Linked DNA regions of Canis lupus familiaris. The protein of the gene in region 3 purifies or fractionates together with the protein of the main gene of each other region. This does not show direct contact. Links are inferred from orthologs where the notes say so. Each region holds a gene or a part of one and is shown on either strand. Other genes may lie near its edges.

Region 1 (10,102 bases), on a different chromosome or scaffold from region 3:
CCACATCGGGCTCCCTGCGAGGGGAGCCTGCTTCTCCCTCTGCCTATGTCTCTACCTCTCACTCTCTCTCTCTCTCTGTGTCTTTCATGAATAAATAAATCTTTTAAAAAAATAAAGTAAGTTTAAAAGAGAAATGAAAAAAATTATCTATAGATCTTTATATCAGCTCACATATTTATCATTTCTCGTGCTCTTCTTGATTATTCACATCACTAAACAGTGTAAATCTTTAAGTCTAAATGACTTCCTTTAGTATTTTTCGTAAGTCTGTCAACAGTGCATATTTAGTTATTACTTCTCTGGGAATATCTTTCTTAGCCTTTGTTTTGTTTTGGTTTTGTTTTGTTTTTTTTTTTTGAGGATAGTTTTGTTGGAAATAGAATTCCTTTCTTTATCTTTCAGCACTTTGACTATGGCATTCTGCTGCACTGTTTCTTCCATTGTTTCAGGTGGAAAGTTAGCCATTGATTATATTCATGCTCCCCCGTAAAACATGCTGAGTATATTTTACCTTGGTGCTCTCAAAATCTTCTCTTTGTCTTATGCTTTCAGTAGATTGGCTATGGTGGGTCTCTGTGTGGATCTTGTTCTGTTTATCCTGCCTGGGATTTTTTGAGCTATTCAAGTGCATGGATTAATGCTTTCATCAAATTTGGACAATTCTTATTCATTATTCCTTCATATATTCCTTTTGCCCCTTTGTCTCTCTCTTTTTTTTTTTTTCTTCATTTTATTTATTTATTCATGAGAGACACAGAGAGAGAGAGAGAGAGAGAGGCAGAGACACAGGCAGAAGGAGAAGCAGGCCCCATGCAGGGAGCCCAATGTGGGACTCGATCCTGGGACTCCAGGACCATGCCCCGAGCCAAAGGCAGGTGCTAAACCACTGAGCCACCCAGGGAATCCCCATCTCTCTCTTTTCCTTCTGGGACTCCTATTATGAAAATGTTCATGCCCTTAGTCATATTCCAAAGCTCTCCAACGCTCTGTTCTTTTTTTCCATCCTTTTTTCTTTATTTTCTCAGCCGAATTGTTTCCATTTACCTATCTTCAGGTTTACTGATTTCTTTCTACTACCAGTGCAAATCAGCTGCTGAATTGCATATTTGAATTTTTCATTAGTTATTGCACTTTACAAATCCAGAATTCCTCTTTGGTTTCTTTAAAAATACCACCACCACCACCACAACAAATGAACCCAAAGTCACTTCTCTATTGATATTCTCTCTTTGGTAAGGTATGATTGTCAGGTCTTTAATTCTCTTTAATTCTTTTAAATGGTTTTCTTTATTTCTTTGAACATGTTTATATTCATTGATAAAGTCTCTGCCTGATACATCCAGTACCAAATCTAATGCCTGGCCTTCCCCAAGAATAATTACTATGGACTTCATACTTTACTATTTCTTTACATGTGTCATAACATTTTGTCAAAAACTGGACATTTTAAGTATTGTGGCAATGCTGGTAATTACATTGCCCTCTTGCCCAGCCTCAGAGGTTATTATTGTTGCTGCTTATTGTTTTTTTAGTGACTTTCCCAGACTAATTCTGCATAGGACTCTTTGTCATATGCAGTTACTGAAGTCTCTGCTTGATTATGTCATCAGGTAATGAGTTGACAGATTTTCTTAAATGATTTAAGCCAATAGATTTCCCAACTCTTTTTCTAATGGGCACTTTGTGTGTTGGGGCATGGCATCCATGCTCTGGCAGTTTACAGCTCTGCCTTAGCCTTCGCTTCCTATATGCACAGAACCTTGAAGTCAAGCATGGGTGAGAGCTTAGGGCTTGTCTTGTCTTTCCTGGGTATTTGCACAGCCTTCTACATATGCACAGACTTCTGGATCCCCAGGAATATGTCAGAAATTGCCAAAATCTCCTATAGAGATCTTGTTTCTCAAATTTTCCCTTTAAGTTTTTTGGCCAGCCTCTTGTTTGCCCTAGGTGGAATCATTGCCCTTGGCAACTGCAGTGTTAAATAGTTGCCACTAATTTGGGGGGACAAACTTGCTGAGGATAGGGCTTTCCTCATTGACTGAGCTCTGAGTCAGATGAAATAAAGATTAGCTCCGTGAATGGGGCTTTTCTCGGGAGCACCAGTCAGGTCAAATAGTTACAGTTCCCTGGGAGACAGGGCTTTTGAGGGTGCTCCAAACCCATCTGCCTCTTCCAATGGCTGCTAGTCTGTTGGCTTTCATAGCTACTGCAATTCTGAGGCTGCTGATTTCCAAAGCTACCATGAACCTGGGAAGAGGGAATTGAAATAGAGTAAGGGAAAACATCAGAAAGTTTGCTGTTCTTCTGAAAATTCGTCTGTTTTTCGTGAATAAATGTTTCTAGGATTGTTGCAAGTCTTTGGCTAATTTCTAGAGTGCTCAAAAAGTTGATTTTGAAAATTTATGCCAGTGTTCTCATTGCTTTTATGGAGGAATGGATTTTCAGAGGTTCTTCATCCATAATTCTGAAAGTACTTTTGATCTGTCTGTGTTTTTAACTGCTATGCATATCGCGCTTGTTCTTTTTGATATCTAATGATGTGTTATGTATATTTGTTGTCAGCCATGAAAGTCCACTCTTTGATTTCATTGAGAGCTGCTTGCGAAATAAACATGAAATGGTTATTTATGAAGCTGCGTCAGCTATCATCCATCTTCCTAACTGTACTGCAAGGGAGTTGGCACCTGCTGTTTCAGGTCAGTTGTGTATTTGATAGCTAGGATTTTGTTTATATTTGCATGTTTTTGTTTTAAGTTCCACAGTTCTGCAGGATAGGTAGTAAGAATGATTTTTGAACCTTAGCTTTAATATATACACCTTTGCATTCTAACATGTAGATGATTTATTTTTGTTTTCATTAATTACCTCTTTTTCTGAAGTTACTATTTCCCTATATAAAACATTAAAAACCTTTTACTTAGAAGACAAGTAACTCTCATTCCTTTAGTTCTTTCATATTTAAAAAGCCCATTTGCTCTTATCCCTACAAATATTCCTACCACAAATTCAAGTATTAATGCCTATATGAATTCTTATATAAAAATAAACTTTGTTTTCTGGATTTAAACTTTTTATAGCTCAACAAAAAGTGTTTTTTCTATTTTTGATAAGTTTTTCATGTGAAGCTTTGATGCTGTGATCTAATTTCCTGATGCATACTTTGAATATAATTATGTACTGTATTTTCAGATATATGCAATATGATGAAATGAGCTTTATTCACAAAGATCTTTTTTCTTTCTAGTTCTTCAGCTTTTCTGTAGCTCTCCTAAGCCAGCTTTGAGATATGCAGCTGTGAGGACCTTGAACAAGGTAGGTGTCCCTTTGCCAACTACTGACTTATATCAATGTTTGATTGAGAAACATTACATGTGAAGCATTTGACTTTCTCCCCAAGATAGAAAGGTAGGATTTATGGTCTTCACTTCTAGAGCACCTTCCTTGTATTTGTGGCCTTATGTATGGCTACTTTTACCATTCAACTAAAGATTATAATTCATTTCTGACTTTCAAGCACTTTATGGCTGAAAACCACATTGTCCAATAGGATAGCCATCAGCCATGAGTGGCCATTTCCATTTAGATTAATTAAAAATTTAAAAACCCTGATAATTTAGCTCCTCAGTCACTCTAGTCATACTCCATCTGCTCAGTAATCATGTGGTTAGTGACTGCCATATTGGTCAGTGAAAAAATATAGAACATTTCTATCACTGTAGAAAGTTCTCTTGGACAGTGCTGGTGCAACACAATGTGAGTCACATTTGTAATTTTAAATTTTATAGTAACCACAGTAACTTCTCCCTCTGTGTCTCTGCCTGAGTCTCTGCCTCTCTTGTTCTCTGTGTCTATCATGAATAAATAAATAAATCTTTAAAAAAATTTTTTAAAGATGAAATTAATTTTAATAATATATTTTATTTACCTTCATATATATAAAATGTCTTGTCAACATGGAATCAGTGTAAAATTATTAAAGATCTATATTGCCTTACGTTTTTTCATACTAAGTCTGTGACATCCAGTGCTTATTTCATGTTTAGAGCGTATCTTAATTTGGACTAGCCAGATACCAAGTGCTTAGTAGTCACATTTAACTATTGGCTACTATATTGGATGCCACAGGTTTAGAGGATACAGTTCAGAAACATAGAATGAATCAAAGAACCATAAACATTTGAAATGAAAGTTTAATGTAGAAGAAGACTTGTCATAAGGCAGTATGTGATCTATTACAAATTAATTGCATCTTTACTGGAAAACCAAAGAAGAACCTTCACAGAATTTGAGTTATACTTTTAAGAGGTGATATAGGTCCACATGCCTTTAGCTATAATCTTAAGGACAGATGTGTCTCAGAATTCAGTACTTTATGAATTTTGGGAAGGCAATATGGTGCTGTCTCTTATATATTAACTCCATTGAGCCTAGAGCAGTCCCCTACCATAAGGCACATTAATATTTTTTAAGACATTAATATTTCTTTGTTATACATATGACTATCCTCACTAAGTGGAATAAATTAAGATTTAACTCATTTTATATTATTTTGGGTCAGATTTTCCTGTTAAATGAGTTTTGATGCCAATACTTTGCTGAGTTTTCAAATTTTTTAAATCGTGGGTAAAGGATTCTATACCAATATTGAGACAGAGAGGTGAACAATTTCGACAAAAGCAAAGAAGCAGGAGAATGAGACATGTTTTAGGGAGTGTGAGCAATCCAGTTTGGCTGGAGTTTGTTTAAATACAGAAGTGTTTTCTAAGTGATAAGATATTAACAGTCTTTGAGCAGTGTTTACCATGGTAGATCCTTACATCTAGTAGATCCTTACATCTAGTAGCGTATATATCCATGTACACATGTATTATAAACAAAAACAGGTCAACTGCAATAAAATACAGGCTGTGGTATTATTACAAAAATTATAGAAAACTAGAGACCTAGGAAGAGAAAGTGCTATGTTACACTATGACTCTGGCAGGTGTTTGTCAAGTGATATATTATGCCTTATTAATTGAAAATGTTCTTCTTAAAACAATTACTTTTGACCTATTTAGATTTTTTTTTTATAATTTTTTTTAAATTTTTATTTATGATAGTCACACAGAGAGAGAGAAAGAGGCAGAGACATAGGCAGAGGGAGAAGCAGGCTCCATGCACCGGGAGCCCAACGTGGGATTCGATCCCGGGTCTCTAGGATCGCGCCCTGGGCCAACGGCAGGCACTGAACCGCTGCGCCACCCAGGGTTCCTGCGCCACCCAGGGTTCCCCATTTAGATTTTTAAAAGCCACTTACCTTGATTAAAATATCTGTTTTCCTCTTCCTTTGTTTTTTAAAGTTCTGGTCTTCATTAGTAGCAATTTGCTTAATTTATTTTTCTTGCCCTTCCACAAGGTGGCAATGAAGCACCCCTCTGCTGTCACTGCCTGCAATCTGGACTTAGAAAACTTGATCACAGACTCAAACAGAAGCATCGCTACCCTGGCCATTACTACACTCCTCAAAACAGGGAGTGAGAGCAGTGTGGACAGGCTTATGAAGCAGATATCTTCTTTTGTTTCTGAAATCTCAGATGAGTTCAAGGTAAAAGTTTAAATATGATCATGTTTCTCCCAGTCTCTGGCTTGCCTGTTTCTTAACAGTATCTTTTGATGAGCAAAAGTGTTAAAGTCTAATTTATTAATTTCTTTCTTTCACTGTTATATTGCCTTTGTCTACTTCCAAGCCTTAAAGATATTTTCTTATGTTTTCTAAATGTTTTATGGGTTTAGCTTTTACATTTTGGTCTATGACCCAATTTGAATTAAATATTTATATATTGTGTATGGTAAGTTCAAGGTTTTTTTCCATACTAATATCTAGTCATTCCAGCATAATTTATTGAAAAAGACTTCTTTTTCCCCACTGCAGTGCTTTGGCATCTTTGTCTGAAAGGCAGATAACTATGTAATTGTAGGTATATCTGGGTTCCTTATCACATTCTGTTGATCTATTTGTCAATCCTATGCCACAATGTGTTGATTAATGTAGCCTTATGGTATCTCTTAAATGTCAAGCCATGTGATTTTCCAACTTTGTCCTTTTTTAATATTCTAGGTCCTTTACATTTCCAAATAAAGTTTAGGATCAGCTTATAATTTCTATGAAACAAAGTCTGCTAGGATTATTCTTGGGGTTATGTTGAATCCATAAATAAATCTGGGGAAAACTGACATCGTAACAGTAACATCGTATTCCAGTTCATGAATATGGTATGCCTCTCCCTTTATTTAGGTCTTCTTTAATTTCTCTGAGCAGTGTTTTATAGCATTTACTATATCAGTCTTGCACATCTTTTGTTAAATTTGTATCTAAATATTTTATGCTTTTTTACTCTATTAAAATTCCTATTTTATTGTCTGCTAGTAGTATATAAAAATACATATACATATATGCTTTATCATATATATTATATATAATATATGTAAATATAATATTTAAATATTAAAATATAAATATATTTAATATATAAAAATATTTTTTTCTCTTTGTCATAACTTGGTATCATTGCTCAGTACCCTTATTGGTTCCAGTAGTTGTTATGTATTCCTTAAGGTTGTCTGTAAATAATCATGTTATCTGTGAATAGAGACAGTTTTGCTTCTTCATTTCCAAACTAAATGCCTTCCCTTTCTTTTTCTTGCCCTATTAAAGTAACTAGGATTTCCACTATAGTATTGAATAGAACTGGTGAGAATGTGTCAGAGCTGATAGAAGAACAGTAAAATAAATCTCAGTTAAAAGAATTAAATTAGAAAGAGTTTATTATTTCATTCTTATTCAATTCTCAGTTAAGAAGCATAACTGGCTCTATTTACTCTCTTCTATATATCTAGATCTTTTCTGAGAGAGAGAGCACAGGAGCAATGGTGGGGAGAGGCAGAGGGAGAGAGAATCTTAAGCAGGCTACATGCTCAGTGTGGAGACTGTCAAAGGGCTTGATCATGACATGAGCCAAAATCAAGAGCCAGATGCTTAACTGACTGAACCACCCAGTCCACGCCTATATCTAAACTTTTAAAAAACAAACTTAGCCTATATATTCAAGTAGACATTTTGAATCTTGGGGAACTATGGAAGATTATAAAGGTCATTTTGTGGTATAGCTTACTGAATGAATCTCTTATGCGTAGATATTTATAATTTTCAATATTTTGCAGTCACAACTAATACAGTGGATAAACTTGTGTGTGTTTTCTCAGAATGTTGTAGGTATATCTCAGGGTCAGTTCCTAGAAGTTCATGTGCTAGGTTGAAGGGTAAATGAAAGTGTAGTTGTGTAGAGAATGCTAAATTCCACCAGCATGTGTAAGAGTGCCAGTTTCCCCATAGCCTCACCAATAGAGTATATATTATGTTTTGAAGTTTTGCCAACCTGGTGGGTGAAAAAGTATATTTCAATGTATTTTTAATGAATTTCTTTACTTATGAGGGAAGTTAAACATCTTTTTACATTTTTAAAGATCATTTAATATTTCTTTTTGAATATCATTTACTCATCTCTTTTCTCCATTTTCTAAAGAAATTTTGGTCTTTTGTTTCCTCAGTTATTTCAGGCTTTTTATGTATTAGGGATGTTAGTTCCTTATGAAATAAGTTTTGATATTTTCTCTCAGTTTGTCATTTGCCTTTTCTTATGTCTTTTGTTGTGCAAAAGTTTGTAATTTTTATGTAGTAAGGTTTGTCAATCTTGTTGCATTTGACTCTTGGGTATTAGAAAGCTTTTCCTCCAAGGACGCCTGGGTGGCTCAGTTGGCTAAGCATCCGATTTGGGCTCAGGTCATGATCTCAGGGTCATGAGATCAAGCTTCACGCTAGGCTCCACACCCAATGTTCTCTCTCTCCCTCTCCCTCTTTCCCTCCTCCCACTCCTTTAAAAAAAAGAAAGGAAGGAAGAAAGGAAGGAGCTTTCCCTTCAGACTATAGAATCTAATTGGGCGAATAAGGATTCACTTATGATTTCTTCTAATACATACATAGTTCCATGTTTTCATTTAGATCTCTGATTCATTGGATTTTATTATTATATATGGTATGAGAAATTGGATCTAATCTTCTCCTTTTTCAGTGATTATCCAGTTGCCCACCCCCCCCCACCAATTTTATTTACAAGACTGTCTTTGCCCCAGTGATTTGAGGTACCACCTTTATCATATGTTAAAGTTCCATATGTATGTGGGTCTGTTTTGGGGCTTCCTGTTCTATTTTGTTCTTTATTTATGTATCAGTACCACACACTATTAAATATACAGGCTTTTGTAGGATGTATTAGTATCCCTCAGTCCCCTGACATGGCTTTGTTTTCATTGTTTCCCTAGCTATCCTTAACGTGTTTATTTTTCCTTATGAATTTTAGTATTGTCTAGCTTCATGAAAAATCTCATTGGCATCTCTATTTGGATCACATTGAATTTATAAGTTAACTTAGGGGAGAAGAGACATTTTTTTTTAAAATTTATTCATGAGAGACAGAGAGAGAGAGAGAGAGAGACACAGGCAGAGGGAGAATCAGGCTCCATGCAGGGAGCCCGACATGAGACTTGATCCTGGGTCCCCAGGATCAGGCCCTGGGCTGAAGGCGGCGCTAAACCACTGAGCCACCCGGGCTTCCTGAGAAGAGACATCTTAGATGATGTTGAGACATCTTATCCAAGAACAAGGGTTATCTTTTCATTTGTTCAAGTCTACTGTTGTGCCTTTTAAGAATCTTTTATAGTATTTTTGTTAGTTTTAAATGCTTTTAAAATGCTTTTCGTATTTTATCTTGTTTGTTGTTGCTGTTAAAAATGATTGTATCCATTATATCTTCTAACTAGTTATGCTTATACATGCTCCCTTTGTATAGTGCAAGATCTCTTCCAGTCTCAGAAGATACAGTGTCTCCCTCTAAAAGGGGCAGATTTCTGTGCAGCAGTAGAAGATATAGCTAGTGCTTTCCCTAGAGCAAAAAGCAAGCATGCTCACTGTCCAGGATAATAAAGATGTTTCCCTTCAGCACAAAGGTCTGGCATGCTTACTACCCTCTGTAAAATATTTGAGTTCCACACCTCGGGGTTCTTCTGTAATTAGAGCTACTGTGGCCCTTTACACACTGCCCTCTGCGAATTGGGGCTGAGGAACCTGGCCTCAATATGCTGATATTCTATCCACTGCTTTTGCTGTATTTAATTGTCTTTCATCTCTGATCCAGGAGTCTTGTGTTCTCTCTACCAGCAATCCATGAAATTGTGGCAGACTAACTTGTTAGCTTGTGGGTAGGGGAAAATCTCACACTGCTCACGTCTTGATGCTGGTCTTCAGAGTTGTGGTAAAATTTTCCTAGAAACCATTTTGTGAAGTAGTTCCTTGGTAATTTTCAATTTCTTCTAAGGAGATTGTGTATGCTTTTTAAAAAGAATTAATTTTTTTATTTGAGAGTGAGAAAGCATGAGCAAGCAAGGGGAAGGGGCAAAGAGGGAGAAAGAGAATCTCAAGTATGGAGCACGACGTGGGGCTTGATCTCAATGACCCTGAGATCATGACGTGAGCCCACATCAAGAGCCCGACTGAGCCACCCAGATGCCCCTCTGTTTATGCTTTTAATCTTTACTCTTTACTTTAAAGATTTTATGTGCTTACTGGCTTGGAACAAAGGGTTGGGGTCTCTTGGATGAATTTCATTTTTACATGTTTTTTTTTTTTTTTTTTAACCTATCTTTCATGAAGGGCCATTATTGCCATTCCAGGTAACGACGGCACCGCCTTAGCTCCAACAGTAAGAGGGAAAGTATACCTGGTAGCTGAAGGTGTAAAGATGAACGTCCTGTCTGTGTTTGTTTTTCCACAGGTGGTGGTTGTACAGGCAATCAGTGCTCTCTGTCAGAAATACCCTCGAAAGCACAGCGTCATGATGACCTTCCTCTCCAACATGCTCCGAGATGATGTAGGTAGACATGTTTTCATCATAGGAAGTTGCCCTCTTAAATATTTACAATTCCCATGAAACACCATACATTGTGTTTAAAACAGTTTTATCATCTCGGCATGCCCCCAAAATGGTATGCTTAATTCTGGTTGCCA
Region 2 (10,102 bases), on a different chromosome or scaffold from region 3:
ACCTCTCCAGCTTTAGTAGTAAAGTCATTAGAAGAAGCATTCTTGAAAGTCCTACAGTTTGTTACAGGAGTTTTCCCCCTTTTTGTCCCCAAACCTACCTCCCATGGTTTACGAGCCCTGCCTTTTTTTTCATAGTACTTTAATAAATCAGTATGGCAAATAAGTCCTATTCAAAAAGCTTTTATTACCTTAAAGCTTTTTAACCAATTTACTTTTAGTCCTTGGAAGAAAGCCTAAGGTCTTTTTTTTTTTTTTTTTAACACCTCTGTTTTGGAGTTTGACTTTTGGTTGGCAGTAGACTATCGATAAGGACATGGGGTTTGCCAGCTTGGCATAATCCTGTGATTCTTAAATCCACAGTTCTTGTAAGTATTACATTATTTGCCACACAGACATAGCCAAAGACGCATGCACACCAAGTGAAATTATTTTCTAAAGAAAAATTACTTTAGGGGTGCCTGGGTGGCTCAGTTGATTAAAAGCCTCCCTTCTATTGAGGTCTTGATTTGGGGATCCTGGAGTCAGATTCCCTGCTCATGGGGGAGCCTGCTGCTTCCTCTCCCTTTGCCACTTCCCCTGCTTGTGCTCTCTTTCTTTCAAATAAATAAAATCTTTTAAAAATTATTTTTAAATTCTGAAGAATTGATCATAACAAGAAATTTTTCCATACTAACTGTATTCTGTTTTAGAAGAAACATGTGAAATGTATTTTTTTATTTCCTCCACTGCTCTAAATCTGTATCCAAAACTATTATAATATCACCCCAGAATTCCAGAAAACCATAAGACCTTTTATATAATCACAAGCATGTCACTGGTTCTGTAATAGGTTTATAAGGACTTTCTCTATTTATTGCCTAATTTTGTTAACAGTTTTGTCTTAGCTAGATGAATATTCAGGAATTATAAAAGCAAATGGAGATTTGGGAGTGTTAAAACCTTTAGCTACTTAGGTTGGCTTCCAGGCTCTGTCACTGACTTCTAAATTCATTGCTCCTTCCAGGTCAACGTACTTGACTTTGTAGAAGAATATTAAACTCAGGATATTTATTCAAATTCACCTGTCAATTTCATAGCCTTGTTTTTTGTTTTTAAGATTTTATTCATTTATTCATGAGAGACAGAGAAAGAGAGGCAGAGACACAGGCAGAGGGAGAAGCAGGCTCCGTGCAGGAAGCCCGATGTGGGACTTGATTCCAGGTCTCCAGGCCCTGGGCCGAAGGCAGGTGCCAAACCGCGGAGCCACCCAGGGATCCCCTCATAGCCTTGTTTATGTTTGCTTTGGTTCTAATTTTTGAGCCATGTGCGTGCCATCTTAAAGGTACTGAAAACTGTATTTGAGTAACATTAGATGACCTGCGTTCCTTATCATTTGCTAGTTACCAGTCTTTGCAACTACACAATACAAAAAAAGGAAGGATTTTTGGTTTTAGATGTGTGAATGATTCTAAAATATTAACCTGTCAATAGGTCTCTAGTAAATTTTCAAAACCTCCAGGATTTCCTGGTGGTATGAGTCCTTTTCGTTTCTCAGATGTGCCTATGGGCTTTTTTGCCTGTATGTCATAGTTTAAGCTGAATCTTCTACTCCTAGTGTTCTTGTTCCCTTCTCTCTCGTGGTAGATTCCACCTTACTCTAGACAACTCAAATGGTAAGTTTCCTTGGTCTTAACTGTGGAAGTAAACCCTTTTTAAGTCTCAGGGTGAGTCTATGGTGTCATTTACACTATGCATGTGTAATCTTCCTTCACAGGCTGCAAGAGCAGGCCCTGTATCTGATTCATCTTTTTTGTCCTCTGCTTGCATATACAGGCATTTTCACTTAATGGCACTTTTCTGTTCCTGAAAAATCAAAGGTTCTGGGGGAAAAACAATCTAACAAGAATCCCATTTTCTTATCGTTAAATAAGAAAAATTATGTGACATGTTATTCTCAAACCCCAGCCAGTTTCCTAAAATAGATCTAACATACATCACACGCTTACGTAAAGAAAAAAACAAGGGATCATATTAGTATGTAAATACTTGAAACGTTTTTCCCTGGCAGTAAAAGGTTCAAATGATTAACAGTTGCTTTGAATGCAGTGACATCTTCTTTGAAATTGTATACTTTCTAAAACATCTGCATTTGATTCTGATGATGTGCCAATGCTTCTTAGATCTTAACTTGAGATTTTGTCCCCCTGTGCCCTCCTGTGCCATTTTGTTTTAAATGTTTAGTTTTGGTGATACAAAGTTCCCTTTGTAAATACTGCCAGAAAATACCAAAAGATATACATGTTTTGTGGACTTTGGATAATAACCAAAGTAGTGTTCTGTCAGCAAGACATGTAAGGCAAGCTATTATACTGTTTCATCGATAATTTTTCTCTTGATGCTATCTTTCTGTTTAAGTAATGAAAACATATGTGATTGAGTGATAACCTGAAATAATAGCTTTCTTTGAAAAAGGAATTTGCTATGATGGACTAAATGAGATTTTGAATTAAGATCTTAAATATTAATTTGTCTTTGTATTGCATTGCATTGGCCATTGAGGATGAAACCTTATTTCTAGTTTACTTACTGGATTGAAATTCATTAGTGAAAGGTCATGGCTACCCTTACGGTTTTTTTCAATTTTACTTCATTTATAATATAATTTATATACTGTTTATTTCTTAACAGGTAGTTGTGTCAACTAACATTGCAGAGACTTCTCTGACAATAGATGGTGTGGTATTTGTGATTGATCCTGGATTTGCAAAACAAAAGGTACATACTTTAATACTTTAGTTGTTTACTTTATTAAATTGGTGTTAGCTTAAGAGTACATACTGTGTTGTGTACTTGTTCAGTGACTAGAATTTACTTTTTAGAATTATTTTCCTGTTGTCTTGTGTTTTGTTTTCAGACTTTGGTGATATGAACCCTTTCTGTTCTTAGCTGACTATCCTTTATTAAACCCATGCATAATGTTGAATCCTAGGCCTTTTTTTTTTTTTTTTTTTTTTTAAGGGTGCTTTGGGGTTTTTTTGTTTGTTTCTCTGTAGCAGTTGGAAGTGTTTCGGTTTCTGTGTTCATTTAAGGAGTATGAGAGTAGTAATAAGAGGACAGGATTGTCATTCTTGTAGGTTGATCACCCAGTAAGATTAGAGTTTCTATTATGTGTTGGGCATAGTATCTGAAAAGGTTTTAACGTTATCTTCTAGTTGAGCAGTGCTGAATACCAAGCACTTTGGCCAGAGGAAGTGACTACTCAGGAAATAACTGGTGATGTTGTATGATTCACAGATTTTTAAAATTACATTTGGTTACATTTTATAGGTATAATTGGGAGAATTTGTTGCATGCAGTATTTATGTTTCTGATGGAAATTTTTCACTTTAAACTGGCAGTGTGTAACTGACCTCTGAACTGAGTTCAAAATATTTTTCTTGATGTTCACACTGAACATCATCAGGTATTGAAATTGACAGGTTCTTTACAGGCAAAAGCCTTCAACACTGTTGATCCACTCTAAAAAAGCAAAGTAAAGCTGGTAGAACTGAAATTAATTTTCAGTTAGGAGGAGTAAGGATGATGTAAGCTTTTAATTAAGAAGAGTGAAGATGATGTAAGCTTTGTGTGTAATAGATAAGAACCTTTCCATGTTAGCTTGAGTCTTCAGAATGATTATTTCAGAATATCTGAAAGAAAGTTAAGGCACAACCAGTTCTCAGTTTCTGTCTCTGATGTGCAGCCTTCATCACTATACTGCTTTGTTTATTTTGAGATTAGCTGTGGACTTTGCATACAGATTACAGTTTTGTGGTTAACTGAAGGAAAAATTCTTACATTATTTTCATTCTTATAGGTGTATAATCCTCGAATCAGAGTTGAGTCTCTTTTGGTAACAGCCATTAGTAAAGCTTCAGCTCAGCAGAGGGCTGGTCGAGCTGGGCGTACAAGACCTGGGAAATGCTTCAGACTTTATACAGAGAAAGCTTATAAAACAGAAATGCAGGTAAGAGGTTTTGCTGTATCCTTCCTGTGTTTGGAAGGTTAAGTTGAATTTGTTACCAGAAGAAAATTGCTTTATTTACTTCATCTTGCCTTTTGGCACCATAAGCGCCTTACGTTTTCCCTGAGTGAGATTTATGGTGTAATCTACCAATACAGCTCTCTGTTAAAATTTTAAGTTGAAGTGAACAGTTCGCAGTAACACTTTCAACCCTGTAAAGATAGTTCACAGAAGGTGTCTGATTCCTTTCTGGTATATTCCACCAGTATTCTTCTCCTGTGGATCAGTGGTTTAGAAGTAATGCCAAAGTAAATAGCTAAAGAGGCAGAGAACAGGTATGTTTTGTTTTCTGGAGCAAGAGGATTAAGGCATGTTTAACAATAAACACTTTTGTTTTTTGCTAGGATAACACCTATCCTGAGATTTTGCGTTCTAATTTAGGATCAGTTGTGTTACAATTGAAGAAGCTTGGTATTGATGATTTGGTGCATTTTGACTTTATGGATCCACCAGGTATGAATTCTCAAAGCATATTTTAGCAAGCCTTTTAACCAAAATTCACTATCTCTACATCTTATCTCACACACACACACACACCCTTTACTTTTTCTTGTAGTATGCGTCAAGAAAAGTCCTATATGTTAGTATTAAAACTAAGAATGACAACTATATGAGAAAGTTTTTTTTTTTTTTTCTTTCCTCAGAGTAACTAAATTATCCCGGGAATTACTGACCCAGCAGGAAAATGAGAAATTTCTAATTTTTCTTTTTGTTAGGAATTAATTTATTTAGGAAAATGACAGTTTTAACTACTGTGCAGGAAAATATTGCAAATTTATATGAATTGTTGTTTGCTAGAACTCTAACTGAATTTGATGACAGTTTGAGTTTGGTCCACTGAAGAATGAAAAATGAGATTGCTTATAATAGTTTGTACTTTATCACCTTTTTGCTTGTTAAAGCAGTTTGTCTAATAGATTGCCTTTTCCCCCAGCTCCTGAAACTCTGATGAGAGCCTTAGAACTTTTGAATTACCTGGCTGCTTTAAATGATGATGGAGATCTGACTGAATTGGGATCCATGATGGCAGAGTTTCCTCTAGATCCACAGCTCGCTAAAATGGTTATTGCAAGTTGTGACTACAACTGTTCTAATGAGGTCCTATCTATTACTGCTATGTTGTCAGGTAATAGAGGGAAAGGAACTAAAAAAAGCCCAGCTCTTCACAGTTTGGGTGGACTTCACATTTGGTTTTGTTTTTTATTATTTAGTATGATAGTAGATTTTATAGATGGTTTTGAGGAGCTCATTTTGTTTCCTAAATATCTTGTAAATAGATTTATGAAGATACAGTATTTACAAAAGTAAAGTAATTGCTTGTGCACAAAATATAGTAAAAACATTGGCTCTCTTGAGTGCGAATAAAAATTGCAATAAGAAAAGAACAAGTCTGAACACAATTGTAACAGTTCTTTGGTAGGTTCATCAGTTTTGCGGTTTATTACTGAAAGTACAAGAAGAACTTTGTTCTAGTACTTGGCACTATTAAGTGAGCCTGGGACAAACCCAAACTATCATTTAAATTGAACTTTTCCTACACATATAAATAATATATTCTAGTGGCAGTTGAGCAAATGTGAATTTCAAACTTAGTATCAAATAAATAGAAGTAGTAATGTGTAATTTTAGGTTTAAAATCTCATCAGATCATAATTCTTTTACAATGGCAGAAAACAGTTGATACGTGAAAGACACCTAATAGATAATATTGCTGATTTCGGAAATTGGAGCATTAAGGTTAACAAGTCATGCTGTTTTTAGTAGCAGTAAAGCGTATCCATCAATGAATTATAATTTGGAAATTAGATTTTCCAAAAAGAAGAAATATGATTAACAGCTTTACACTGATTCTTACAGCTAAAAAATAGAAGACATTTTATATTTTTACTGATGACCAAAGTACTCTATACTATACTACTAGTTCCAGTACTGGGGAGAATGACTTCAGTTTCAGAGTGGTTTATTAGTCTATAATTATAACCTAATGCCTCAAATAATTCAAAATCTTACATGGAATTAAAAGATAAATTGAAAAATTTTATAATTATAAAATTATGGCTTAGTTTAGATGTATGATATGTTTTAATGGTGTGAATTTTTTATTTAAGAACTAGCTAAAAATGTTTTTTTGCAGAGTTATGACTGATCAGACTCAGAGCAGATGGGCAGGGCAGTATCGAATCATTTTAATAAAATTGTAGTCTCACTTGCGGAGGTGGTGGTAGGTTGTTGTCTGCCTTTCTTACATGTTTTTGTTAGATGCTCCCAGTTGGTACTTACCCAAGATTTTAGTTTTAGAGAAAGTGTGGGGCAAGGGTTAACAGATTGCATATTTATTTGTTATCTGCTCAGATTTTATTCTTCCAGTTTCTCTTATCAGGCATACTATATAATTACCATCGTTTGAGTCTATATTACTAGTTCTTTAAAAAACTGGTCATTGTGACGCAGTTGAAATCTTCCACCTATATCTCTTATTTGTAATAAGGAGCTCTGTACAACACAGGAGTTTATTAGCACATCAAGAGAATGGACATTTATGTTTAGTGATTATTAAGCAAGGCACTTGTCGGGGGCGGGTATTAAAAGGTGAGGAAGAAGTCACAGAACAAAAACAGTTTGCCAAGCTTATACTGTTTTGTTTTTCATTTAAATAGTTTTTGACATTTTCAGGTCCTGATATAAATAGTGCAAATCAGGGGCCTTATAGAGTGCTACTTATTCCCACTGTTAATTCTGGGAGCTAGTTCACTTTTACTTTCGTATCTTTGAGAGGTTTCTGTACTTTCATGAATTAGCTTGCTTCAATTACATTAAGCAAGACATTTAATTAATATTTATTGTGATCATGTGTCATTGTCTCTATTTGGCTTCTTTGGTATCTTTTAAAGGGGAAACTGTATGGGAAAGTAATTTGATACTGTATTTGATCTTGTTGTTGATTATTCCCATTATCTTCTATCTGGACTGATTCATTTATACTTTTTTATATTGAAAAGGTTTTAAGAGCTTTAAAAATGTGTTGACAAAGTCCCAAGCTGTTAAGTATTTTTACTTTCATACTGCTTTTATGACTATGGAATTGCTAAAGTGAATTAAGGAAAGTTGTATTTTAAAAATGTAGTGCACGCTTTGTAACAACTTAAAATTTTATGTGAATTAACATCGAGGCTCTAAACAAATACTGTAGTTACATATTTTGATGACCCTTGAAATAATGACTGTTTCAGACTAATTGTCAACTTTCAAATATTGGATTTGGTTTTTATATTGAGGTTTTGATTCAAATAACCAAATAACAGTTTTTTTTTTTTTAAACTTGGGACGTCATTTTCTAATCTTTTTATTAAAATGCTGGAAAACTAGGCTGAATTTCCTCAGCCTTTTTGAATTTTCTTAATTCAAAGGCGGTTTAACCTTCCACCACTACTGCTATCATCAAAACCCAACATTTCATGATATTTTTTATGTTTCCATATGCTTCTGCTCACCGGTGCTAATAGTGATACCCACCAGTTGGTAATAGCCATAGCATTAGGGAAAAAATTACAATAGAAATGTGGCAATAGACTGGCTAGAAAGTGGTTTTTAGCCCTGCAGTGGGCAGATACAGCTTCATAACTTCCATAGCCATTCAGTGGATTCAGTGGATGGCCTTTTGAAAAATTACATTTAGCTTAAAGGCTATTGACACCATAATTCTGGTTATTGGTAGAGCTATCGGCACTGGTTTTTGAAATAAGTTGAGCTTTCTATTTCTAGTATCTTGATGGCCTTCAGAATAGCTGTTTGATGCCTACTTTTAGATCTAGTTAAAATCATCAGGTACTCTGTAGCTTTGAAACCCTCTTGTCTTACAGATGTGGTTAGGTGTTGATGTACCAAATCAAGGTAGTAAACAGTCCAAGATGCAGTTGGAGGCCATCCTGCCCTGCCCTATGCTCTGTGAACTGACCTAGCTAGGCCTTGTTCCTCTATCTGTGAATGCGTGACTCATCGATATGGGCGTTTGTGTTGGGCCCATACCAACCTTGTTTAGTCCCACAGTGTTTTGTTCGCCCCACGGAGGCCAAGAAAGCCGCAGATGAAGCCAAGATGAGATTTGCCCACATAGATGGAGATCATCTGACACTGCTGAATGTCTACCACGCTTTTAAACAAAGTAAGTGTAAATTAGATTGAAGGCACTCTTTTGTCTAAATGTCACTTGCAGTATATAAGATGTTTCTTCATCTCACTTTCATTTATTATCTGTGACAACTTTACATTAGAAACCCAGAGGTACTTTAGAAAAAACTCCTGACTAGCATTTAAAATGGAAATTGTCTGTCTTTTTCAAAGTTGTTTACTCTTATAATCAGTGGGGAAAATACCTATTATAGAAAGCTGGAAAATGGAGAGCGTTAAAAACAAAATACCAGTATAATATTTACCACTAATACACAGATTTTTATATACTTTGTTTCACTGTTTATTTTCATTCGTTTTGTGTGTTTAGTTTTGTATTATTTATAGAATCTTTACTGTTTAGTAATTTTACTAATAAGTAGCTCTTAAATACAAAACTAAGAAAATAGAAAAATGGGCTGTAGATGTGAATCAGCGTTCTCAGTCAGGCTTCAAGTGGTCTGTAAACATGAGGAGGAAAGTCAACTCTACTTGTAGTTCAAGAGCATTATTATCTAGGGGTACCATTTTCTCACCTACAAAATTGGCAGAGGTTAGGGCAAAGTAGTCCTTAGCTATGTAGGAGTGGGTTTAGTGAAACAGTCCTACAAGAGAGGTGGAACTATAAATTGATGTGGTCTTTGTGAAAAGCAGTAGATTTTATGTTACTGAGAAAGTTAAGTTCAGATCCTGTGACTCAGAAATAATCTATGAATAATCTGTGATCTTCCAGTATCCTGTGCACACAGATATAATTAAAGATTTCATCCCAGAATTATTTATGATAGTAAAAAAGGGTGGGAGGGAATTACCTTAATGCCCACCAGTAAAAAGATAGTTCAGAATTTATGCTATAGCCACATGATGAAATACTGTTCCAGGCTCCATCCCAGGACCCTGTGATCATGACCTGAGCTGAAGCAGACGGTTAACTGGCTGAGCCACCCGGGCGCCCTGTTCTAGCTTTAAATCATGTTTTCGGAGAATATTTAGTGACATGAAAAACATTTTCCAGTTGTTTGAAAATAAGGAAATACAGTCATAATGAAGTTATTGCCAGATGCTATTATTGGAATCCACCATTTATAAAAGTTAAATGAGAGAAGAACTTCAATTAAAGAAAAAAATGGAGGGATCCCTGGGTGGCGCAGCGGTTTGGCGCCTGCCTTTGGCCCAGGGCGCGATCCTGGAGACCCTGGATCGAATCCCACGTCGGGCTCCCGGTGCATGGAGCCTGCTTCTCCCTCTGCCTGTGTCTCTGCCTCTCTCTCTCTGTGACTATCATAAATAAATAAATAAAAAAAGAAAAAGAAAAAAAAAAAGAAAAAAATGGAGAAATAATTGCGAGTTTTGAAAATTTTTGATTTCTACATATCAGTAGGTTAACCTCTTAGATATGTAATCAAGTAACGATAGCCTTACATCATCACACTTTACCAAAAATGTGGAGTTCACGGTCAGTAAAGTGTATGGTTTCTGCCAATAAGAAAATGGTTTCCTAATTTACTATAGCATTGCCATTTGTTATCTCCTAAAACTTTTGTTTATACTCCTAAAATAGTCTGGTCATTTTAACACATCTCTTTTGGGATGGAGGTGAATTTATTTATCTCAGAATCCAAAAGTACTGCAGAGTGGAACAAAAGGCATAGCTGCCAACGTGCTGCATGTCTGTGGCTTACATATCAACTCTGTCATGAGTTGAATAGAATTGATAAATATCTGGTGAAGAAGCAAAGGCCACTACACAGCTTACTTAAGAACATTTTATCCCTCTTGTGTTCAATGTATTGATAACACATAATGTTAAAGACTATTCCTGATAGGTTTGATCTGTCCCAAGAAATATGCTATATTCCTATATGTGCCACATTGTATTGTGGTGGTTGAGCT
Region 3 (10,828 bases):
CTACAGCCTAAATGACCCTCCATGATATTCCTCCTCCTCAGCTATGCTTCTGACTTTATCTCTTCTTCCCCTTACCTAATTTATAGAGGGCTCATGAGCCTGCTTGTGGTCCTCAAAATGCCAGGCAAGCTCCTATCTTGGGTTCTTGGCTCTTGGGAGACCCCTCATTCCTTCATATCTTTGACCTCTTATCAGTGAAAACTTCTTTTTCTCTGCCTCAGATACACATCTCATTATTCTCAGTTTTATTTTTCCTCTAGAACTTATCACTGCCTACATAATACAGACTTACTGTCCATCTTCTCCCATTAGAATGTAAGCTCCATGAAAGAACAGACTTTATTTTGTTCACTACTCCATCTCTAGCACTTTAACAGGACATAGCATATGGCAGAAACTCAGTAATTTTAAATTGTATGAATGAAGAAACAACCAATAATAAATAATCCCCTTTATTCATTACTGCCAATACTATATTCTCTCAGTTCCCCAAGGCATTGTTCTGGATGTCTTCTTCCTCATTTCTCACATGGAGGGCTGCTTTTACTTTAACAAATTATAAGTTCTCCCTTCCATTTTTGCTGTTTTACATTTTTAATCTGATACAATCTAACACATTCTTCTGTAATCGACCTCTAGCCCTTCAAGTCTATCTTCCACATTGCCAGCCTAATATTCCTAAAGAGCAAATGTGATGTAGTCATCCCCTTTTCAGAATCTTTTAATGACTCCCACCACCCAAGGATAAAGTCAACAACGGATGTTTTTGCAAATCCATCACCCACTTTCCTGACCTTTCTTTGACACCACTTGTAGTGTAAGAAATCTGCATAGGGTTCCAACAATTGAAATGAGACCTAGGCCAGGTTGACCATAACTGGCCAATGTACCTAAGTAAGATGGTAATCACGCCAGGTACTTTGCTGGAACTACTAGGAGAAAGGTAGTCTGAGCCAGAGGGATATGAATTCTGAACTGCTAATCTTTGCCACCTGGTGGGTAGAGTCTGCTTGAGAATAAAGCCAACACAGAGGAAAACAGAGCTGAGAAAGAAAAAGAAAGACATATACTTGGTAACAATTTTGAGTGCCTGGACCCAGTGGAGACAGATGCAACTTTAAGCCCTAAACTTTGTAGTTAGATGAGCTTATATATTTCCATTGGTTAAGCCAGTTTCTGAGTTCTATCATTTAAAATGAAAGAATTTGGGCTTCTACAAAATCCATTCCTCCTGTCCACTGTTCCAGCAACATCACTCTCACACTTTACCTGCTAGCTTTAATTCTGTAGTTCCTCAGAACAGTATGATGTTGTAACACACCTCTGTACCTGCACATTCTGTTCCATCTGCCTAGAATGTCTTCTGTCCTTTTTTTTTTTTTAATTTTTATTTATTTATGATAGTCACAGAGAGAGAGAGAGAGGCAGACACAGGCAGAGGGAGAAGCAGGCTCCATGTCCTTTATTGGCTGAAAGAACTGCTAATCTTTCTCCCTGAGCTGAAGTACCTCTTTTACTATTTTGTAATTGATTACTTTAACCCCACCCACCATAGAATTCAAAAATCCCTCCAGTTCCTTCTTCATATTTTTCTTATGCAATTCTTCATCCTGTTTCTGGAAGCCTTTCTTGATTCCTGACTCTCTGTTTAATACTTCCAAACCTGTTCATTCTTCAAATATTTACTTGGCTAATTATGTGCTAGGGATGATGCTTAGGGATACACTGGTATTTCTACTGTCAAGGACTTAGATTATATTGAAGGACACAAACAAGCAAAGCAAGTGGATATAATACAATGTGATTAAATGCTTAGATAGAACAAGGTATCTGGGACTAAATAGATTCCTAGAAGAGGTGATGTTTAAACTAAAACCTGAAAAATGAAGTAGACGAAAAGATCAGGGAAGACGAATGTTTCAGGGAGTAGGAACACCACACGCTGCTCTGAGGTTAAGAGTGTAGTAACTGAACTGGTTCTACCATATTTTCTCCCTGTTAAAACTGGGTACCTTTATGTTTTTAATTGCAGTTATTTGGGTATTTTTTCTTTTCTATTAGATTATACATTCTTTGAGAAAGAGTCATTTCTTGTTCACCTTTCTAGATGACTCACTTTCCTTTAAGTAACGAAATACTGAGCAGACCGGTTTTTTTAGAAGTTAGGAATTGAAACTTCTGATAATCTCTATTTGCTGTAATTCCTTCCACTGACATCAGTTTTGTTCCTTGATATTTAGACTCTTATTACATATAACATAACTATAATTTAAAGATGTTAAATGTCATTTATTAACACAATCTCTTGCTTACCGTTCTCTTTCTCCAGTTTCTATCAACTTTTGGTTAATCGCTGCTCTCATCTGCGCATCTTTGTTCATCTTGCTAACCTGAACATCAACATGTATTTTCAGATACAGAACACATAAAAAGCATTTTCTTCTAAACCCTCTAGGTAAGCATCCTAATATACTTAACATCCTATCAACTGAGGGGGTGATAAATTTCAACAGTGTGTTAACAATGTCATTACTCTTAATATTGGTCACTGCATCCCAAGAAGTCATACTGATTAATTCACTTTACAATTTTCCTCCGCCATATACCCTTTATTAATGAGTCTTTGGATAATGATATTTATCGTATCATTTATGCAATACTTATGTGCCCGGTATTGGGCTAACACAGGGGTTGGGTTTTTTTCCCCCATTTAATTCCCAAAACTTATTCTTTCATGTAAGAGTTATTAACACAATTCGTATTTTACAATTGAGAAAACTGAGGCACCAAGATAGCAAGTGGTGAGGACAGGATTTGAACTCATGTACTTTGAGCCCAGCAGTCTCAACACACTTTTAACAGCACATCATAACTGCTTATCATTTCTGCACCGTAACTGCATTCAAAATTTCGGGGAAGCCATATAACCTAGAGAGTAATACAAGATTAAGCACTGTTGGTGAAAAATGAAATTTCCAGATTAGGTTCAAAGTGCTTTACTTTTTTTTTTTTTTTTTTTTTTTTTCCTGTAGGGTGTGCCCAGAATTCTACAACTGCCAAACTAACTCTGAGTATGTGCTTGTGTATGCTCTTCATCGAAGCTTGCTGGTGGAATAAAGGAAAAAAACAAATCTCAAACTAACTCCTAATTTAGAAAACTCTCAATTTTCAGTGAAAAAAGACAACCAAAATCAGAGTGACGTAGAAAGGAGAGGAAGGTTATTAGAATGTAACAGCTGCAATAAGCTCACATTACTGCAGATAATTTGTCACTAACTTGGGACCACTTTTGCTGTGTCCCGTCTCGCCTATATGAAAACTCAAGACTGGCAACTGAGTTTTGAGTTGGGAAAAAAAATTTTTTTGAGTGCAACAGGAAAAAGGAAGGGCTGAGAAATGTTCGCTTGTAGCTGGAGGCTAACATTTTCAAAACAATTCTAAGGTCTAATCGGTACCATTCCTGGAATATTGAACCTGATCTCGCCTTGGCCCCTAAAATACGGATAGTGACCTTGGGCAAGTCAATTCTTAAAGGCCTCAGTTTTCTCACTGGTAAAACGAGGGCGCTAGGGGATCCCTCCCAGTTCAGACATTCTTTGGGAAAATAGAATAGGGCGGAGACAGCGGGAGAGGCGGGAGGGGAGGAGCCAGAAAACAAAGCGTGGACTGGCTTCAGGCCAACTCCGGTTGCACGCCCTGTCGGAGAGCCCTACAGGCCCGCGAGCGCGGGTCGGGGAAGCTAACGAAAGACAGCACATCGAAAGGAGCCTGGGCTGGGCCCGGGTCCCGGCCCTGAGGACCACGGGCATAGCTCACCACCATCACCGCGGGCGAGGGCCGTCCCTTCCCAGCGACGAAATGACCCTTGCGCTGACGACCGTTACCTACCACACTCTTCGGCTGCCCGGACCTAGACCCTCAGTAGCTCGGGCACCTAAGCACACAGAAAGCTAAAACACGCATTTCCGGGGCGGGGTCTCGCTCCCCTGCCTATAAATGTGAGAATTTAACCAGCGCGGGCCGCCTCCTGGTAGCTCAGCCCTCTGGGTAAGAGAGTCCGGCCCATGCTGTCGCTGGGGCGTTAGGTCTCCAAAAAACTACATAGCCCGACATGCAACAGAGTCCACTTTCCCTTGGACACTACATTTCCCAGAAGGCATCCCGCACCGCGCAGTGCTTTCTGGGATGGGAACCACGCCGCCTGCGAGCCTCGGCGCTACGAGCGAAGCGCGGACCTTTCAACAAGAGCTTTATTAATTCTCTCGCTGCGACCCAGGAGGTGGCTATGGAGGTGGCTGCTAATTGCTCTCTGCGCGTGAAGAGACCTCTGCTGGATCCCCGTTTCGAGGGTTACAAGCTCTCCCTCGAGCCTTTGCCCTGTTACCAGCTGGAGCTTGACGCAGGTGGGAAGCGGCGGCGCCCCCTGGCACTCTACTTCTTCCCCTGTCGGCTGCCAGCGGCCGGACCCTTCCCTCATTTTCTTCCTTCCCGAGTTGGGCGAGCAAGGCGTCCGGGGCCTTCCGTCCGGCCGGTCGGGCTGGGGTGGACCCGGATGGGCCGCTTCTGGAGACCGACGCCCATCCCGGCACCCAGTGGGAGTCTCTGGCGCGGCTCTTAGGTAGCTAGACCCTGGGCGGGCCCGGGCTCCAAGGTCCGTCCTGCGGCTCGCGGCGCTGCCTGGGCTCCGGCCGCCTGTCGGTCCCCGGCCCGGGCTGCTGCGGAGAAAGCTCAGGCAGGACTTGCTTTCGCTCTCGAGCATCCTCTGTAACCGTGTGCGTTAAGAGGCCACGCCTCCTCGGAGGGCCCCCAGCTCCGGTTTCCTCTAGCGGAGCCCCACGTCACAGAAGAGAAACTCCCGATGCAGTTCAGAGCATTTTCGGTCACACCGGTGCTGTCAGACTAAAGGCATTATCGTAGACAACATCTCTAGAAGATTTTGAGGACAAGTTGATTTAGTACCTACACTTCTGCTATTTTGTGTATCCGAGGCTAGCCGAAACAAATGCACCCTTGTGAATTGTTTTACGAGGTATAATAAGCATTTTAGTTGAGGAGCCCACAGATTTGCGTTTTTAATACACACCTCTACTGGTGTTGACGCATGTTGTGAGTGGATCACACATTGAGAGATGCTGATCTAAAGAATTTTATCAAATAAGTGTTTATAAAGTTTGTAAACATCTATTGAGAGCCTGTTTCATGTTTACAAGCTGATATCAAGATGAATAAGATACAGTCTGTAGGGATCCCCGGGTGGCTCAGCGGTTTAGCACCTGCTGCCTTCGGCTCAGGGCGTGATGCTGGAGACCCGGGATCGAGTCCCACATCCGGGCTCCCTGCATGGAGCCTGCTTCTCCCTCTGCCTGTGTCTCAGCCTCTCTCTCTTTCTCTCTCTCTCTCTCTCTCTCTGACTCTCATGAATAATTAAATAAAATCTTTAAAAAAAATAAAAGGTACAGTCTGTAACATAAAAGTGCAGCTGGCTACTTGGAAAGAAAAATATAAACATAATTACAAAACTGTGATAAAGCAGTGATTGGGTTATGTACAGACGGTAATGGTAGTGGTAATGGTAGTGCTTACGTATCTTTGCAGACCTGCCTGGGGATCTGGGAAAGCTTCCTGGAGCTGATATCTTAAGTTGGGTTCTGAAGGATAGGTAGGAGTTGACCGGACTAAGCTAAAAGGAGCTTGGTTTTTCATCCCTTCCTTTCTTTCTTCCACCTCATGTCAGTAAATGGTACCACTGTGTTTCGTTTATGCATTAAAAAAAGCAACCCAAAACTCAGTGGCTCAAAACGGTAAGCAATTACTGTTGCTCACAAGTCTGCAGGTCGGGTAGGTGTTTCTTCTAGTGTTGGCTTGGACTCATTCTTGTGTCTTTGTTCAGTTATGCATCTGCTTGATGGCTCTCCTCATCTTGGCTATACTTCCTCACAAATTTGGAGGTTCTCTGGCTACAGACTAGTATAAAATTATTTCAGATGCTTTTGCTTAGCTCTACTCCGTGTGATCTCTCATTAGCCCAGGCTTAATCCAAGAGAAAAGGAGCAGCACACAGGCATTTTTTCAAGCTACTGCCTGGAATAAGTTTGCTGTTGTCCCATTTTTCCAAACAAGTCATATAAGCAAGCTTTAAGGTCAGTATATAGCAAGCTCATAGCAAAGGGCATAGATTCAGGGAGGCATAAAAATTGGGACTATTAGAGCAGGTCTATATATATAGTTGCTTATGTTGGAGTCATGAAGTATTTCTTCTTTTAGTCCCTCTGTTCAGTCTGTCAGCAATATAGTCAGCTCAAGGTTTGACTTCTTGCCTCTACCCTTCTCCAAATCAGTTATATCTTACCTGAACTATAGTTTATTGACTAGCTTTCCCACCATTCCATTCTCCTTCCTTCCATTCCCTGTAAAGCAGTATCATCATAGTTTTTAATTTTCTATTTATTTGATATCCTGTTTCCTCCACTAGACTGTGAGCTCCCTAATATCAGTAATATTTTCTTTTGTTCACTACTCTATTCCTAGTGCTTAGCATTGTAGGTGCTCAATAAATTGAGTGAATGAAGAAGAGAAGGAGTTGTTATTGAGGTCATTCCATTCCTTAGAAAGCAAGAGCAATGGAAAAGAGTAAGTTGTGTGTAGGACACTGATGCAGCCCTGTGTAACTGGAGCAAAAAAATCTGGAGAAGTAGAGACCACTTAGAAAAATAGGTGAGGGCACTGTTTGTCTTGTGGACTTTATCCACACATCTGGGGAGTAAGTCACTGTTTCCCAGACATTTTCTTGGGCCCTAATGATTAAAAAATAAAGCTCAGCTGTCAAAGATTTGCCAACTTTTTAATTTGCCAAGGGGAGATGTTTCTTTTTTTTGTTTGTTTCAAGTTTATACTGAAATTCTATTTAGTTAACATATATAGCGTAATACTGGTTTCAGGAATAGAATTTAGTGATTCATTACTTATTATAATGCCCAGGTCACATCACAGGTGCCATCAGTGCCCATCACCCATATAACCCATCCTCTGAACACCTCTCTTCCAGCAACCCTCAATTTGTTCTTTATAGTTAAGATTCTCTTATGGTTTGCCTCCCTCTTTTTCCCCCTTCTCCTATGTTCATGTTTTGTTTTTTAAATTCCCCATATGAGTGAAATCATGTGGTATTTGTCTTGCTATGACTGACTTGTTTCACTTTGCATGATACACTCTAGTTCCTAAGTGGAGATGTTTCTTAAAAACTGATGTCCTCACCCATTCTTTCATAAACAAAAGGATATTTTAACATCAAAAAAGCAGAGAGCAAATTCTCACAATAGTCCTCTAAAATGCATTAGCTTTATTAACTACTCACTAAATGGTCCTTGGTCTCTCCTCTTTTCATCATTGTTGGTTTTGGAGTCTGTGTTTGCGATGTACAGTTGGAGGTGATGAGGTCCCATTTAGGGTTTTAAGTATAGAAAAGAAAGAGATTTAGAGATTGAATGGTTTAATTTTAGATTCTGTGAAGATTGAATTTGGAAGATTGGAGGAATAGGACCAGGGAGACCAGTTTGGAGGCTTTTGCAATCCTTCGTGTGAGGGGCTTGCATTAAGAATTACTACTTGAGGAGGAGGATGGAGAGCTTAATTCTTTTAAAAACTCTTTTCTAGAAATAATGAAGTATGATTGAAGAGCTCCTCTTGGCAACTTGGTTTCTTTTATGCTCCCTAAGGAGTTTACATTAATTCAGCAAGATGTTAGTGACTGGTGTGTGAAGCTGTGCATTTAGGATGTGAGGATGAAGATGTGCTCTGGTTTCAAAAAGCTTGGAGTACTGGTCTATTTTTATTCTCTTGTTTTAAATAATGTTAGTAAATTGTTCTAAAGTTCCCTTTGCTACATAAACTATAGCTGTCAGTCTGTGTATTCCAAAAAATTAAGCAAACAACTCTCTTTTTTTATAAAATTGTGATTGTTCTTTGACCCAGCAATTCTAGTTCTGGGCATTTACCTTATACAGATCTTCCTTGACTTAACAATGGAGTAATGTACAGACAAACACACATCTTAAATTGAAAAATGCATTTAATACATCTAATCTACATAACATCATAGCTTAGCCTAGCCTACCTTAAATGTGCTCAGAACACTTGTACTAACCTACAGTTGGGCAAAATCATCTAACACAAAGCCTAATTTATAATAGAATGTTGAATGTCATGTAACTTATTGAATACAAAGTGAAAACCAGAATGGTTGTATGGGTACGGAATGGTTGTATGGGTACGGAAAGTGGATGAGCTGTTTACCTTCATGATCAGTCACGTGCCTGACTGGGAGTTGTACCTTGCTGCCATGGCCCAGCATCACCAGAATATCCTACTGTAATATCGCTAGCTTGGGGAAAAATTCAGAGTGCAGTTTCCACTTTTACATCCTTGCAAAGTTGAAAAATCCTAAATTGAACCATTTTAAGTTGGGGACTGTCTGTACATATTTTTTTCCTAGAGTCTTCATTCTGTAAATGTCTTTGTATATGTTTTCCCCTTACATTTCACCTAGCTAACTCATACTCCATTCATTCATCTTGGTTTACATGCTACTTATTCAGAGATTCCTTTCTGGACTATCTAGTTAGAATCTATACTACAGAATCTGTATAAATTAGAATCTGTAGTCTGTTTTCCTATTATACCTGATCATAGACTTTATCATACATTGTAGCATTCAATGTCTATTTTCTCTTTTAAGATTATTGGTTTTGTTAGCGATGGTTCTAATGTCCATATTTAAGTGCTTTACTTTGAAAGGGCTGGAGCATGCCTGGTGATTAATAAGTGATTTTATATCACACATATTAAATAGGCTTATTAGGATAATTGATAATAAACTGCATGTATTTAAGTGTACACGTTGGCAAGTTTTAAAATATATACACACTACTCCTGAAGTCCTCACCATAATCAAGATATTAAACTTTGTTTTCTTCCTCAAAACTTCCAGTGCCCTTTGTAACTAGCCCGCTGTTCCTCCACTTTAATCCCAAGCAACTGTTGCTGTGCTCTCCGTCATTATAAATTAGTTTGCATTTTCTAGAGTTTTATATACATGGAATTATACAGTATGTACTCTTTTTTGTCTCACTTTTACTCAGCATAATTACTTTTAGTTCATGCTTGTGTGAGAGAGGGATATTGAAACCTCTGGCTATCATTGTGGATTTTTTTTCTTTTCAGTATTGTCAGTTTTTACTTCATATATTTTATTTTATTTTATCTTATTTTATTTATTTATATTTTTTAAAGATTTATTTATTCATGAGAAACACAGAGAGGAGAGAGAGAGAGGCAGAGACACAGGCACAGGCAGAGGGAGAAGCAGGCTCCATGCAGGGAGCCTGACGCGGGACCTGACCCCGGGTCTCCGGGATCACCATCTAGCACCAAACCGCTGAGCCACCCGGGCTGCCCATGCTTCATATGTTTTAAAGCTCTGTTATGTTGCATAAACACTTTATCATGTCCTTTTAATAAATTGACACCCGTATTATTAAGGAATAACCTTCTTTATCCTTGTTGATATTCTTTACTCTGAAACCTTATCTGATATTAAAATAGTCACTCAAGCTTTCTTTTGCTAAATCTTACGTATTTATTTCCATCTTTTAACTTTTAACCTGTTTGTGTTTTAGTATTTAACATGTATATACTATTGGCAGAAATAGTTGAGTCTTTTTTTATTCAACTTGACAATCTCTACCTTTTAATTAGACTATTTACATTTGATGTGATTATTGATTTTGTTAGTTTAGGTCTTTCATCTTGCTATGGATATTCTGTTTGTCCTATCTAGTCTTTGGGAAGATGAAATTTTCCCCTTTTTTTCCTAATTTTTCATTCCATTTTTTATACCTTCTTTTGGATTATTTTCTTATGAAATCATTTTTTAAGATTTTATTTATTTATGAGAGAGAGGGAGAGAGAAATTGAGGCAGAGGAGAAGCAGGCTCCATGCTGGAAGCCCGTCTTATGAAATCATTTTTATCACTCTTTGTTATTTTACTGGTTGCTTTAGGGTTAAGGTTATATACATCTTTAACTTATTACGTAATACATTCAAATAATTTTACACCACTTGTAATATAACACCCTAAAATAGAATACTTGTTTCTTTCTTCTGGCCTTTATGTTGTATTTGTGTTTTCAAAAGATACTTTTGGGACTCCTGGGTGGCTCAGTGGTTAAGTGTCTGTCTTTGTCTCAGGTCATGATCCCCGGGTCCTGGGATCGAGTCCTGCATCAGGCTTCCCACAGGGAGTCCGCTTCTCCCTCTGCCTACGTCTCTGCCTCTCTCTGTGTCTCTTGTTAGTAAATAAATAAAATCTTTAAAAAAGAGAGACATTTTTAAATGCCCTGTGTAGGATTCTATATTGATATGTTTTCTTTTTTCAATACATTTGACCCTTAAATAATGTGGAATTGAAATATTCAGGTCCACTTATATGTGGAATTTTTTTCAATAAATAGTACATTACTGTAAAAGTATTTTCCTTATGATTATCTTAATAGCATGTTCTTTTTTCTAGCTTTATTGTAAAAACACAGTATATAATATACAGAAATATATGTTAACTGTGTTATTGGTGAAATTTCTGATCAATAGTAGGTTGTTAATAATAGTTTAGTTTATAGACAGTCAAAAGATATATGTGGATTTTTGAATGTGCCACAGGTCAGTGCTCCTAACCTTTGTGTGATTCTAAGGTCAACTGGTCTTTAAAGATGTTGCCTGTTACTTTTCTTGTTATTGTTTCTGATGAGAAATCTGGTGTTTTCCAATCTTTAT

Evidence for each region.
Region 1: the proteins of NUDCD1 (region 3) and COPG2 purify together in Homo sapiens (co-immunoprecipitation; 3 studies listed by BioGRID and IntAct, with this or other methods). This does not show direct contact. The link is inferred for Canis lupus familiaris from reciprocal best matches to the Homo sapiens genes NUDCD1 and COPG2.
Region 2: the proteins of NUDCD1 (region 3) and DHX15 purify together in Homo sapiens (co-immunoprecipitation; 3 studies listed by BioGRID and IntAct, with this or other methods). This does not show direct contact. The link is inferred for Canis lupus familiaris from reciprocal best matches to the Homo sapiens genes NUDCD1 and DHX15.

Annotation. Positions count from the first base shown.
Region 1 is NC_049235.1:6,234,949-6,245,050, forward strand, and holds part of COPG2 (coatomer subunit gamma-2), read left to right. Parts: intron 1-2,562; coding exon 2,563-2,696; intron 2,697-3,244; coding exon 3,245-3,312; intron 3,313-5,398; coding exon 5,399-5,587; intron 5,588-9,869; coding exon 9,870-9,965; intron 9,966-10,102. UniProt on the Homo sapiens protein: The coatomer is a cytosolic protein complex that binds to dilysine motifs and reversibly associates with Golgi non-clathrin-coated vesicles, which further mediate biosynthetic protein transport from the ER, via the Golgi up to the trans Golgi network.
Region 2 is NC_049224.1:86,190,211-86,200,312, forward strand, and holds part of DHX15 (pre-mRNA-splicing factor ATP-dependent RNA helicase DHX15), read left to right. Parts: intron 1-2,667; coding exon 2,668-2,754; intron 2,755-3,835; coding exon 3,836-3,985; intron 3,986-4,386; coding exon 4,387-4,495; intron 4,496-4,976; coding exon 4,977-5,168; intron 5,169-8,081; coding exon 8,082-8,204; intron 8,205-10,102.
Region 3 is NC_049234.1:10,118,656-10,129,483, reverse strand, and holds the start of NUDCD1 (nudC domain-containing protein 1), read left to right. Parts: upstream 1-4,099; 5' UTR 4,100-4,111; coding exon 4,112-4,403; exon of another isoform or gene 4,404-4,742; intron 4,743-5,009; exon of another isoform or gene 5,010-5,029; intron 5,030-10,828. Other genes in the region: transcription and mRNA export factor ENY2, read right to left, coding at 2,314-2,390, 3,817-3,822.